Saccharomyces cerevisiae S288C: one gene and its partner. Each later gene encodes a partner of the first gene's protein in a complex. Each region holds a gene or a part of one and is shown in the gene's direction. Other genes may lie near its edges. The genes, in order: TAF6 and TAF9.

Region 1 (7,698 bases):
GTTATTGAAATAAATGGGGGTAATGCAGATATTTCTCTGCCCATTGTCAAATTTCCACCGTTTAAACTCAGAGCTCAATTAATTGAAAAGGACCCCGTAGTATGGCTGCATCTAATAGAAACCTATGTAACGTATTTTGAGTATTTGATGCAAGGTGCTAACGTTGAATTATTAGATGAATCTACACTTGATCATCTTCGTTTATTTTTGAGAACTTACTTGCATGAAATTGCTGATGAGGAAGGAAAGTTATTAAGTCTCGGTATCAACCATGATGTGTCTGAACAGTTATATTTACTAAAAGGCTGGATATTTTCATTGATCAAGAAATGCGGGTTATTACATCTTCAGATTTTTGGTGACTCCCTGTGGAATTTGATCAAAGTATATGTTAGACGTAATCCAGATTCTATTCGTGGTTTGATCGATGGCTCATTGAAACCACGGATCAACACGCAACGTGTACAATTGGACAAATCGTACCAAGTTCAACAGCATTTGAAGCAGTTAATAGAATCTGGAAAATTTAAAAGAATAGATTTAAGGTGCGTTGAAGATCTGCTGTCTGCCAAATCCATGCAGCCAAATAAGTTTGCGGAGAACTTCTTTACGGCAAATTGGATTGAAATTTTAGAGGCATTATGGGCAAAGGGACAGGGCCGGGGTCATAAAGAGGCTAGAGAATTGATCATTATCAGTTTATTTTCTGTTTCTGCTGATCGTTTACTAAAAATAACTAAAGAATTAGGCATAAGCAATTTTGAAACTTTGGCGTTATATCCTCTTTTAGGAACAATGCTCATAAATGAAGGAGTCCACAAAAGGCTTCCTGATTTGAAGAGCAAGTTACTATTTCTGAATTTAGGGGGGTTGTCAATGGACGAAGGAGACCATATGAGCTATCCAACATCATCAGGTACTGAAGTTAATGAAGAACAACTGTCCGCGTTGATGGAATTGTTCCCCCAGTTTTCTAAATATCAATTATCTCAAACGTTGCTTGCCTATGATAATAACATTGAATTAGTAACGAATAAAATATTTGAGGATCCTACCATTATCGAAGCATTCTCCAGAGAACCTGCGGAGGAAGAAGTAGAGCCGGTGTCAGATGGTGATAATGCATCCTTTACTGAAGAACTGAGTATATTGGATAGAGGAGATAGCTCAAAAAATAAAGAGCTAGACAAAAAGATTATCTCGGAGGGTGTTCCGGATGAATTAAGAAATAAAACTTTGACAAGAGCATTGAAACTTTTATACGAGGCTGATGAAGATGAAAGGGATGACACTTATGATGAAGCCGATGTGAACCGGTCCGATCCTTCGAAAAGAATTGGACTTCAAGAAGACGAAGAAAGCTATGATACAAAAGATGATTCTAATGAAGTGCGACAAGATCATAACTATCATATTGTTGAAGCTTACTTGTGGAATCTATTGAAAGAGGATCCGAAATTATTTGAGAGATCAAAAAGAGGTACAAAAGTCAGGAAAACTATGAAAGAAATGACTTCATGGTCGGATGAAAAAATCGAAGGTTGGTGTCGGATGTTAGAAAGATCTCCTACCCGAGCAAGACTTTTAGAAAAGAAGTTTATGTTCAAAGGAAATAGCAAAACAGGGAAAACGTCTTATGTTCATAATCGTGATAGCCAAAATGATGGAAATGTCGTCAAAGAACAAGCCAAACAAAAAAAATCTGAAAATATTAAGAAACATGAACCTCAATCTACTGAACAGAAGAAAAGACAGCATGCTAAGAATGAAAAAAGGAAAGGGGCTAGAGCTAACCATAACCGTAAGAAGGGGCACGATAAAAAATTGGCTCGTGCGGGAAATAACGCTATTTGATAAAATGCATCAGCATACAAGATAGACAAGCGTATGTAAGTTTACTAGACGGTATACAATTATGTAACGTATTATAAGTTATTCAGCGTCGCGTTCAGGAAGTGCTTTTTTTAATAATTTTTCCCGCCGACTAGTAAAACTTTGCCTTCAATTAGCGTCCTTTACTATTAAATTTTGCTTTTCTTACTGGCTTTAGAAGCAGCTACCTTTCCCTCCAATTTATTCCAAAGCTCATCTGCGTCTTCTTCAAGTTCTGTAACCTTCCTTTTTTGCTTCCCTTTGGCAGCTTTCGCACTTGGACTTAGTGGCATCTCGATTTCAACGTCATCCAGCATAACAATAAAATTTATACGGGACCCAACATAAACCTTCACCAGCATTTTGTTAGTTTTTATATCGAAGATCCGAACATACCTATCTAAACCACCTTGTAAAAGATATTTGCCGTCATGTACATGAATATAGGTTGACGAACCAGTGATATCATCTCTACCCACCTTGCCCAACATTCTTCCATTACCATCGAATTTAAAAACATTCTTTTTGTAGTCAGTAGTAATCACATTCAGTTCATTAAAGGTTTCAGATTGAAAATTCCCCAACGAAGAGACAACATTTTCTCCCTTGGCATCAAAAACTTCCATCTGAGATAATGGTTCACGGTTAGGTAATAAATCTATCTGAGCGAACGGTTTTCTGCCATGTTGTGTGCTGTATTTGGTGAGGTGGGACCAACGGGTTATGGCTGCAAACTGGTAGTTCAGCTTACCCTTTTCAGTTTTACCAGGGGAGGGCTCCAAAAATCTTAGGGCCATGGGCCATACTGGGACTCTCATATCCAACCTGTCGTTTTTAACATTCTTGGCTTCCCAAATTTGCTTTAAAGATTGGAAACTCGAATCTATTTCCACTAATTTTATTAAATTCTCCTCCCCTCCGTATGCAAATATATATTTATCAGTATCGGTATCTTCTAGATCATATAACTGAAGAAATTCTACTGGTGCTTTCAGTCCAAGGGATGCTAGTTTTATTAACTTTTTATCTTCTCCTTTTTTTATAATATGTAATAATCCCGATTTGGTAGCAGCTACGAATGTGTTATTCGACGAATCCTTTTTTATGGGACATAATGTGACAAAACCATCCACCAACTTGGTTCTTTTAACAGATTTACTTGAAAGTGATTCCAATTTGGCATCATCAAAAAGGTCTGAAACTGAGCTGGTTATCTCAAACTCGGATATGTCAAATTTGGGTAGATCATCGGAAAGGCTCTTTTCATTTTTGCTTTCTCCTTTGGGATCGACCTGGAGAGCTTCATTTTCTTTAAGGTGTTTCGAAATCTTTACAAGTTCGACGACCCCTGAATTCCTTGCTAAGATGGCTTCATCTTCGGATATCACCCACATCCTGTCAACGTAAGCTTTCAATCCTTCGGCTAGATGAGGTGCCACATGAAAAGGCTGCAGTGCTGATTGTACGGAAGTGTCAGTCCCGATGTTACACAAAACTTCCTTTATGGATCCACTATCCACACAGCTGACTAGTAACCTCATTTTACGATCGAAGCTGGGCCTATTTATGGTTAAATTTTCTCTGTATTATGTTCATTGAAGTGAGGCTTCGAGATTGGGCATCGCTTTACAAAATTTTTCAGCTTTATTTTATTACCAAAAAAATACCCGGAAACCATCAATAACAAACACCGATTCAAGTAGCAGCAAAAGTAGTTCATGAGCGAAAACAATAGATTGGCTTTAAAAAGGAAGCAAAGGACGCCTCAGTGTAGTTGATAGCCTGTTAAAATGTCTACACAGCAGCAATCTTACACAATTTGGTCTCCACAAGATACTGTTAAAGATGTCGCTGAGTCGCTTGGGTTGGAAAATATCAACGATGACGTGTTGAAAGCACTTGCTATGGACGTTGAATACCGTATTCTAGAGATTATTGAACAGGCAGTCAAGTTTAAAAGACACTCTAAAAGAGATGTTTTAACTACAGACGATGTATCGAAGGCCCTGCGTGTTCTGAATGTGGAACCTTTATATGGATATTATGATGGCTCTGAAGTTAATAAAGCTGTATCATTTAGTAAGGTTAACACAAGTGGAGGACAGTCGGTTTACTACCTGGATGAGGAAGAAGTAGATTTTGATAGATTAATAAATGAGCCATTACCGCAAGTGCCTCGTCTACCAACTTTTACTACACATTGGCTAGCAGTTGAAGGGGTTCAACCTGCCATAATCCAAAATCCAAATTTGAATGATATAAGGGTATCCCAACCACCATTTATTAGAGGTGCTATTGTCACTGCTTTGAATGATAACAGCCTCCAAACACCTGTAACGTCGACGACAGCAAGTGCTTCTGTGACGGATACAGGCGCCTCTCAACACCTGTCTAATGTTAAACCAGGACAGAATACTGAAGTCAAACCTTTAGTGAAACACGTTTTATCCAAAGAATTACAGATTTATTTCAATAAGGTCATTTCAACCTTGACAGCGAAGAGTCAAGCTGATGAAGCTGCACAGCATATGAAACAAGCAGCTTTGACTTCACTACGAACTGATAGTGGCCTGCACCAACTGGTTCCATATTTTATTCAATTTATTGCCGAACAAATCACACAAAATCTTTCCGATTTACAATTGCTAACAACAATTTTGGAAATGATTTACTCTTTACTAAGCAATACTTCTATTTTCCTGGACCCTTATATTCATTCGTTAATGCCTTCCATTTTAACCTTGCTATTAGCAAAAAAACTTGGTGGATCACCAAAAGATGATTCGCCGCAAGAAATTCATGAATTTTTAGAAAGAACGAATGCACTACGTGATTTTGCCGCATCTTTGTTGGACTATGTATTGAAAAAATTTCCTCAAGCATACAAATCCCTGAAGCCAAGAGTAACTAGGACACTGCTAAAGACATTTTTGGACATAAACCGTGTTTTTGGGACTTACTATGGGTGCTTAAAGGGTGTATCGGTACTAGAAGGTGAATCCATCAGATTCTTCTTAGGAAACCTAAATAATTGGGCGCGCTTGGTATTCAATGAAAGCGGAATAACTCTAGACAATATAGAGGAACATTTGAACGATGACTCCAATCCAACTAGGACCAAATTTACTAAAGAAGAAACTCAAATCTTGGTTGATACTGTAATTAGTGCATTGTTAGTTCTAAAAAAGGATTTACCAGATTTGTACGAGGGTAAAGGTGAAAAAGTTACGGATGAGGATAAGGAAAAATTGCTAGAGAGGTGTGGTGTCACTATTGGATTTCACATTTTGAAAAGAGACGACGCAAAAGAATTAATTAGTGCGATATTTTTTGGCGAATAGTGAGAATCGGTTTATACTAATAGTACAACGGTAATGTTATATAACAGTTTTTACATACGCCATTGTATGTATATATATATATATGCATGATGAGTTATTTAATTGTATACTCAAAGGCCCCCGAAGTGCGAAATTGTTGTAGCTTAGTTTTATTTTATTCCCTTTTCGTCCAAGAAAAGCTACAAAGATGGAGTTGGGTCAACTACTTGCCAGCGAAGGTGGTCTCGCAGTTTCTTATTCTATGTGGATTCTGGAGCAAATAAACGTCTTCTTACTCTCCTTTTTGAGCTATTTTCCGGGGGCTTATTAGTGGGAGTAGAGGTAATATTGGAGGTATTTTTTCTGCCTTCATGCGTATCATCATCCTTGAAATTTAGCGGCGATTCAATGATGCTTTGAAGTTGCGCCTTTTTATTAGGTGTCACAGTTCTTTTTTTCACAGCAGGAGTGGCTTGAACTTGTACGTTTTCCTCAGAGTCTACACGTTCATGTAGGCGTATCGTTTCATTGATATCTTTACGTTTCCCAACTCTGCGAAAAGAGTTATTCATAGTTTTGTATGCATTAATAGTTGAGTGCGAGAAAGGCGTTTTGAGTGTGATAGTTGATGAATTCGGTACTCTTGTTGTGCTTAAGTCAGAGACAGAAAACTGCCGTTTTTGTAAATGATTCATCGTTAGATCAGACTTCGTCCTTCCCAATTGTGAAGGGCGCTTTAAGCTTCTAGTTTCACTTTCGAGAAATTCATTCAAGTTAGAGTTCGTTCTAGAATTCAAAAGTTCAGGGGTGGGCGAAGCTATAGATTTTCTGCTGAACAAATTAGCGTCCACCCTTCTCAATGCGGGTGAAGATGGGACGGAATTAATGATTGAAGAGCGAGAGGCACGTTGACTCGTGGATAACCTGTTATACGTTTCTACAGTATTAGGTGACGATACATTTGTGCTATCGTTGACCTTTTTCAGGGCTCTCTTTGGTCTCATGCTTGGTCCCTTGAGCTTTTGAATTATAAATTCAACGGCGTGTGGTACCTTTTTGTTGAAATATGGAATAAGAACATAATTTATGAACCCAACCAATGAGGCTTCTTTGCTTTTGTCTAGGATATTTTTTTTATGCTCTTGTATTGTTCCATTTGATGCTTCTATGGCATCTGGGTTGGGCGTTTCACTTGATAGTAGAATGTCCAAGATGCATGCTCTATCTAAGTACAAGTCTAACTGTTCACAATAATCCAAAGATGTTGTTATTCTCTCGATTCCTTTGTCTTTTTCGCTGGTTTTTTTCTTCGATCTTCGACGAACTAATCCCTTTTTTGTCAAATTAAGTGATCTTTTCTTCAATTTTAATTTATACTTTTTCTCAAAATCTCTAAAATTCCAATCTAAATCGTTCAATCCTATTATCTCTAATAGCAATAATATTTGTAGCTTTATTTCGCGGGATTTTAATACAACACATAAATCAGCAATGGTTGAGCTGTTTTTGTTTTCATCTTGGATAACAAATTTTGTGAGACAGTTCTTCCTTTTTTCATCTGCTATGGGACTAGAAAAGGGCTCTAATAAAAGCCTGTTATCATGTCTATCTTTGAATTGTACAATTGAGAGAAGAAATTTTTGCAGCATGGCTTGATAGGCTATTTTGTAACTGTCACTTCCGTACTTGGTTCGGCAGGTATTTTTGAGCCTTACTAAATTTGACTTGACGAAATATGCGAGAGGCGTATGTATGGAAAAAAGAGCATCATAATACTTACTTTCTATGTACTCTTTAGGGTCTGAATAGTAGTCATTAATTTTTGATTCGCCTTTCATATCTGGGGGATTCATATCCAGTTTAAGGTCTTTGTCCTTCTCAAGCTTACACGAGCCCTTGGGTTCTTCTGACCATAAATGAAGAAGCTCTTTAAATTTCAATTCGTCCCATGTTTTTAACGTTTCACGCTTAGCTCTTTCTCTTTCAACTGTCGTTACAACTTCCGTACGCCTTTCTGGTAAGCTGTAACCATTGAAATAATTGTACGGCCACTTAACCCAAAATCCTGGCCCATATTCCTCTAGTAGAAAATACTCTTTTCTTGATTTCATGCAGATGTGTTTCAATTGACGTCGATTCTTCTGTTGCAGTAATTGGAGAATGTTACTGGGCACGTCCTCGGATTTAATAATAAGTGGATGATCTAAGCTCAAGTCAAGGCCTTTTGTTGCTTCTTTTACCGATGCTATGACTTCCCATGTTTCCATTATGAGAGGTCAGATCGTTCCTACCTATACGATCTTAACCCTTCAGCAGTTATGAATGAGGCTTCTGCCTGTTTTAACAGTGCCCATCACTTTTTTTTATTTTTCTTAAATGGACCATGTTGTACACCAAGATAGCCGATATTTCAAGGTCGCGTATAATATAACATTTTGCCTAGGATTTTTGTCACCTAGAAATATATATACAGGGAAATCTAAGACATCGAATTATGTGATGAGTA
Region 2 (6,497 bases), on another chromosome or scaffold:
CTTGTTGAACTATATCAAAGTCTTCTTAAAATATTTGGAAATCATTGCTGGTGGAAAAAAATACCTGCAAAAAGATCTTGAAAATATGTCTCTTAATGACTCTATAGCTACCGGCCAAATTAAAAATCTTGATATTTTGCAGTGTTATTCTAAATCACGATATATGACAAAACGCATGGTAAGAAAAGATTGGCCTTTCCCTGGAGACCCTAGTGGAAGCCGTGTTGTCAGAAAACTTTTCGAACTTTAACAAAAGAGTATATTTAGCTTATAGTTTTTAGAATGTTTTGTTTTCTTTTTTATTAAAGTAGTACTACTGCGCTGGAGCAGTATATATGTTGAACTATAGTCAGTCACCTATAATTTGTTTGCTGGCGCGAAGGAGAAAGAAAATTTTAATTAATTCATGAAAAGCCTTAAGAAAAAGTTTAAGAGGAAATGAGCAAATAGAAGGCAAATAGAGGGTGAAAGCATTATGGCCGACATCAATAAATATATTCCGATGGTTGACGCTATTTTGAGCGTATCCAACCCCGATGAAATAAGCCCAAAAAGGGTGAGGAAAGCCCTGCAAATTCTCTATTCAGTTAATTTGGATTCACAAAGAAAGTTAATTAATGAATTGATTCTTGAGAGGTTCGGCGATATACAAGAAAACCCAAGAGTCTTAATTCCGAAGAACGACCTCATTAGTCGGGATCAAGAACTATCTTTGAGGTTACAGAAGGAAGAAGAAAGACCCTTGAGGTCTACGAGGAAAAGGAAAGGTAAAAGTGAAAGTAAATCTAAAAGGAAGAAGAAAAAGAATGATAGTCCTGATTCCAACAGCATTTCCGTCCGCAAAGTTCTGTTGTCAGCTCCTTTACAAAAGTTTCTAGGATCTGAAGAACTGCCACGAACGCAAGTAGTGAAGATGATATGGCAGTATATCAAAGAGCATGATCTTCAAAACCCAAAAGATCGTAGAGAAATTCTATGCGATGAGAAGATGGAACCAATTTTTGGCAAAAAAATGACGATGTTTTCAATGAATAAACTCTTAACTAAGCACTTGTTTAATCCCGATGAAATTGTGAAACATGAAGAGGAACAAAAGCAAACACCCGAAAAAGAAATCAAATTGGAAAACGAATCTCTTCCCAATTTAAGCGGTTGATCTTGGCTGTAGCACTTATACAAATTTAATGATTTTTTTTCCTCTTTGATGACATGTATAAAGCACACTGCACCTACTGTATTGTACTTGAAACAGGTAAATTAACAATTAATGTAGCATTAGTAATAAATAATTTCACTTCACGGCGTTAAAGAAATACTATGGCAAATTCGATTTGAGAATTTCGTCAAATTCTGATGATATCAATTAATGGCATATTTTTTTTATTTTTTATCTGGAGAAAAAAATGTAAAAATGACAGCAGCATCAACAATGAATAAAAGCAAGTACAATAGTCGTAAAGATCTATATTAATTTCATGGCAGCACAATAATACACGTTGTTTAAATTAGTTAAAGTGTCACTCCTTGCTTATCGAAGGAACTATCGATTCCTAATTATGGCAAGGCAAGGGAACTTCTACGCGGTTAGAAAGGGCAGGGAAACTGGGATCTATAATACATGGAATGAATGTAAAAACCAAGTTGATGGTTATGGTGGTGCAATTTATAAAAAATTTAACAGCTACGAGCAAGCGAAATCTTTCCTAGGTCAACCAAATACTACATCAAACTATGGAAGTTCAACGCATGCTGGAGGGCAAGTTAGTAAACCTCATACCACTCAAAAGCGAGTTCATCGAAGGAATCGGCCACTTCATTATTCCTCCTTGACATCGTCATCAGCATGTTCATCTTTAAGCTCTGCTAATACAAATACCTTTTATTCAGTAAAGAGTAATGTTCCAAATATCGAGAGTAAAATCTTTAACAATTGGAAAGACTGTCAAGCCTATGTCAAGCATAAAAGGGGTATAACCTTCAAGAAGTTTGAAGACCAATTAGCTGCGGAAAACTTCATTAGTGGTATGAGTGCGCATGATTACAAGCTCATGAATATATCCAAAGAAAGTTTTGAATCTAAGTATAAGCTTTCTAGCAATACCATGTACAACAAGTCTATGAACGTTTACTGTGATGGTTCAAGTTTTGGAAACGGCACGTCATCTTCAAGGGCAGGTTATGGTGCATATTTTGAAGGAGCGCCAGAGGAAAATATTTCAGAACCCTTATTATCGGGAGCTCAAACTAATAATAGAGCTGAAATCGAAGCAGTATCAGAAGCTTTGAAGAAAATCTGGGAAAAGTTAACTAATGAAAAGGAAAAAGTAAATTATCAAATCAAAACTGATTCAGAGTACGTAACCAAATTATTAAATGACAGGTATATGACGTATGATAATAAAAAACTTGAAGGGCTACCTAATTCTGATTTAATTGTTCCTTTGGTGCAGAGGTTCGTTAAAGTTAAAAAGTACTATGAGTTGAATAAAGAGTGCTTCAAAAATAATGGTAAATTTCAGATTGAATGGGTAAAAGGACACGATGGTGATCCAGGAAATGAAATGGCAGATTTTCTGGCGAAGAAAGGAGCATCTAGACGATAATGCTGTTTTTTGCTTGGCTTCTTACTGGACCTGTTGTACCTGTAATAGAAATATATATTTTATATCTTTTGCATACATATACATACATCAGCTATTTGGTTTTTTAACTTACCCGATAACTATCTATAAGCGTGTCACCATGATATTTGCCTGAACCTCGTCCACAGTTGATTGTGTTTATTTTTACTTTTATTCATAGCTATTTGATTTCAGTTTCAGCTAAACGTTCAGCAAGATCATCTACTTGTACTTCTAGCAGTTCCTTTTCAAGCCTTTCCGTTTCAATTTCTTCGAGTTTTTCATCCTCGTCCTCGTCTTCCTCGTCCTCGCCTTCCTCATCTTCACTATCGACCTCTTCAAAATCGTCAACCTCTAAATCATCAAATTTGCTTTGGAGCAAATCTAAAGCATCAGAATCTTCATCTAATCTGTTACCATTTATTTCTAGCTTTTCCAATTCAGGTAAATTTCCCTTTTCCATAGCCGGTAAGAAGGATACTTCAATGGTTTCTTGAGCCATTTCATTATATTCGAATTTCAAGACATGCAAATTGGGGAATTTAACTTCGGTGAATACTTTAAAGACTTCATCTGAACCAGCAGTTTTCAAAAGACAGTCGTTCAAATTCAATTCAAATAAACTATCCTTCCATGTAGGCAAGGCCTTAGCAAGGATCAAAGAAGCATGTTTCGTGAAAGTATTGTCTTGAAGATCCAAGATTTCCAAGTTTTTCAAGTACTGTAAACCGTAATGAATTAGCGTGGCGACACCTTTAGGCCTAATACCATTTTGGTACAGCTTTACGACTTTCAAACCTTCGGAGTGGCTTTTCAAACCCAGAGCTAAGTAGACTGCGGATCCATTCTCTAATCTATTTCTACCACAGATAAAAGTTTCCAAAAATGGTTTGGAAGCAGCTTTCTTATTTTGAGCGAGATGAAATAGGGCCTTACCAATCCTTTCACCAGCAAAAGGGCCCATACCATTGTTACTTAAGATCAAATGTTTGATATTCACGGCATGTGCAATGTAATCTTCTAGTAACTCGATTGTTCTTAGCCCAAACGCATTATCAGAAAGGTTCACAATCTCCAAGTGAGGACATTTCAACAGAACAGGCAATAAAAACTTCAACGAATCAACGACTTCGTCAACCAACCTCGAAGTGTATAAGTCAGCAAAATTTACTTCAACCAAAGATTCCCTGACCTGTGTATTTTCAGCGATGCATTTAGCTAATGCTTCCGAAGCTTCAGTACCGATTGTATTCCCTGAAAGGTCTAATTTGGTACAGGTTTTCAAAGCTGCCAATTCTTCCAGGTATGGTTTGATATCGTCACTGGTTGTTAACTTGAGTGCCTTCCCAGAGATGGAGTAAACTTGTTCTTCCTCGTGCTGAGGAACGAAGTGCAAGGTAGCCATAGCTAAAAATCTGTTTCGAAAGACAGCCTGTTAAAATGGCCTATATTCACCTTTTACCGTGATATTATGCCTTTGATCAATATCTTCCTAATAAATTTTTTTCCATTAATTGTCCCACAACGTGCATAGTGACATGCATTCCATGACCAAACTAAGAGCTTTAAATCAAAAGTAGAATTTGACATTATGAAACAACACGACAACAAGAAAAGACTAGAGGACTTCACAGACCATTATGAACGGCGGAGGCAAGAATGTTTTGAATAAAAACTCAGTGGGCTCAGTATCAGAAGTTGGTCCGGACTCAACACAAGAGGAAACGCCACGAGATGTCCGTCTTTTGCATCTGCTCCTCGCATCACAGTCGATTCATCAATATGAGGACCAAGTACCGCTACAATTGATGGATTTTGCACATAGGTACACACAAGGAGTCCTTAAGGACGCGTTGGTTTACAACGACTACGCTGGCAGTGGAAATTCTGCCGGCAGTGGATTAGGAGTAGAAGACATACGGCTTGCCATTGCAGCGAGAACACAATACCAATTTAAGCCTACGGCACCTAAGGAGCTCATGTTACAGTTAGCTGCGGAAAGAAACAAGAAGGCATTACCTCAAGTGATGGGTACGTGGGGTGTCAGGCTTCCCCCAGAAAAATATTGTCTCACAGCGAAGGAGTGGGACCTTGAGGACCCAAAGTCTATGTGAATGCACCGCTTATATATCATAAGTACACTAAATCAAGTTCTTCCGGAAGATGCGTCATGTAGAATGCATAATAGAGTAATATACACTAAATAATGCGCTAGTCGTGTATCGTGATCATGTTCTCTAATGTTCTTTTTCCTGCCTGCCCTTTCCTACATGGAAAGTTAGAGAAATGAGATCTACACGATAATGTAGTAACAAATGGACCCTTAAACATCTCAATTCATCTTCTTGAGAGCACTTTCCGCGCTGTATTGATTTTTAGAACGTGAAAAGGATAAACTGAAAACTTGAAGTCCTAACCATGTTGTCTCAAACCTCCATACCGGAAGTGAAAGAAGACGTGATAGGCTATGCGCTACACCAGAGGAGAGCCAGAGTGGGACAATTCCAAGACTTGGGTCCGCCTGATTTAATTACTTTGATCAAATCGTTACCTTCATCCTCGAGCACAACAACTGCTACTGCCTCCGCCAACGATAACGGAGCAACTTCAAACATCAATGGACAAGATCCTACGACCATAGTTACGGAGTTACATTCCCATGACAAATTAAAGGGGCAGATCGGCACTTTCTTTTACTGTATGGGTATCGATACTTCGGATCCAACTTCTATTACAATCTTTGCCAAAAAGATAACCGATCTTTTCTTAGACACGCCCCAAATTTGGTTTGGTAAGAAGAAGCACTTTCACGTATCGAAGATTTCTATCAGTTCTTGGAATGCGTTTAGGAAATATGATGTTAACATTATAGTTCACATTCCAGGAACTGTGCAAACCTACATTATAAATAGCGACGGTGAACAATCGCAACTTCCCTCCGTGGCAGAAGCGTCATCTGGCCGCAACTCACAGGATTTAAACGTCAACATGATTTGGGCGGAAACGTTTATGAGTGGTATTGTACGTGACATTATGATTATGAAAGATAATCGTGCGGATGGAGAATCCCAGAATTTGGTAGAAACACTAATTTTCAATCCATTTACCTCGGGTGAGTTGGAAGATGTTGCCAATAACTTTATTAAACTGTTCCCCTTGGTCTATGAAAAAGGTGTTTATTTAGATGCACCTACTCACGTTTTAAATCCCTCGTTAACCAATAATTATTTAGTGGAAACTTTAGTGGAAATAGTTAGGTTAACTAAGAGTTTGGAAGCATGTCGTAAAATGCTCAAGAAGTTAATAGAAATTCATCCAGAAGCAGTAATAATATTAATTCGTGTTTATTTTGCGTGCGATTTAGAGATAGATGCAGTTGACCTGATCAACGAGCAACTAAATTCCCCCTCTTCGTTCTTAGCCGACGATTCAAAGACTAGCCATATCCAGCTAATCTTCAAATCCGAATTATTAAGTATTCAAAGTGAATTCTTACTGGATGTCAAGAGAGATTACAAGCTTGCTAAGGAAGTAGCCATGGAGGCTGTTAACTGTGCACCAAACGAATTTAAAACTTGGTATTTATTGACTAGAATATACATTAAACTAAACGATATGTCAAATGCCTTGCTATCGTTAAACGCCTGCCCCATGTCACAGGTTAAGGAAAAATACGTTCTTAGAAGAATTGCGCCTATTACTTCAGATGAAAATCTTCATCTGCCATTACCATTGGATGCCTCAATTGAGGAGATTTCGTCATTGAACCCCATGGATGTCCAGTTGGAGCAAAAGTCCGCAGATCCAAACCTAGTCAATCTCTCTGCGTCAAGTTTAAAGTCTACTTTCCAACTAGCCTATAAATTATTGACAGAA

The links.
Region 2: the proteins of TAF6 (region 1) and TAF9 are in contact, whole or in part, in a cryo-EM structure (PDB 6T9I), measured with the Saccharomyces cerevisiae proteins. Residues at the interface, in NP_011403.1 of Saccharomyces cerevisiae: Ile10 (codon at 3,690), Trp11 (codon at 3,693), Ser12 (codon at 3,696), Pro13 (codon at 3,699), Asp15 (codon at 3,705), Thr16 (codon at 3,708), Val17 (codon at 3,711), Val20 (codon at 3,720), Ala21 (codon at 3,723), Ser23 (codon at 3,729), Leu24 (codon at 3,732), Leu26 (codon at 3,738), Ile29 (codon at 3,747), Asn30 (codon at 3,750), Val33 (codon at 3,759), Ala36 (codon at 3,768), Leu37 (codon at 3,771), Asp40 (codon at 3,780), Val41 (codon at 3,783), Arg44 (codon at 3,792), Ile45 (codon at 3,795), Leu46 (codon at 3,798), Glu47 (codon at 3,801), Ile48 (codon at 3,804), Ile49 (codon at 3,807), Val53 (codon at 3,819), Asp62 (codon at 3,846), Val63 (codon at 3,849), Leu64 (codon at 3,852), Thr65 (codon at 3,855); in NP_013963.1 of Saccharomyces cerevisiae: Pro30 (codon at 4,349), Arg31 (codon at 4,352), Asp32 (codon at 4,355), Val33 (codon at 4,358), Leu35 (codon at 4,364), Leu36 (codon at 4,367), Leu39 (codon at 4,376), Leu40 (codon at 4,379), Gln43 (codon at 4,388), Ile45 (codon at 4,394), Gln47 (codon at 4,400), Tyr48 (codon at 4,403), Glu49 (codon at 4,406), Asp50 (codon at 4,409), Gln51 (codon at 4,412), Val52 (codon at 4,415), Leu54 (codon at 4,421), Gln55 (codon at 4,424), Leu56 (codon at 4,427), Met57 (codon at 4,430), Asp58 (codon at 4,433), Phe59 (codon at 4,436), Ala60 (codon at 4,439), His61 (codon at 4,442), Arg62 (codon at 4,445), Tyr63 (codon at 4,448), Thr64 (codon at 4,451), Gln65 (codon at 4,454), Val67 (codon at 4,460), Leu68 (codon at 4,463).

The regions. Positions count from the first base shown.
Region 1 is NC_001139.9:295,693-303,390, reverse strand, and holds TAF6 (TATA-binding protein-associated factor TAF6), read left to right. Parts: upstream 1-3,662; coding exon 3,663-5,213; downstream 5,214-7,698. Other genes in the region: CUE3 (Cue3p), read left to right, coding at 1-1,854; ribosome biosynthesis protein NSA1, read right to left, coding at 2,022-3,413; SLD3 (Sld3p), read right to left, coding at 5,453-7,459.
Region 2 is NC_001145.3:738,710-745,206, forward strand, and holds TAF9 (chromatin modification protein), read left to right. Parts: upstream 1-4,261; coding exon 4,262-4,735; downstream 4,736-6,497. Other genes in the region: FUS2 (Fus2p), read left to right, coding at 1-250; TRI1 (Tri1p), read left to right, coding at 476-1,156; RNH1 (RNA-DNA hybrid ribonuclease), read left to right, coding at 1,557-2,603; GTPase-activating protein RNA1, read right to left, coding at 2,803-4,026; BCH1 (exomer complex subunit), read left to right, coding at 5,040-6,497. UniProt on the Saccharomyces cerevisiae protein: Functions as a component of both the DNA-binding general transcription initiation factor complex TFIID and the transcription coactivator SAGA complex.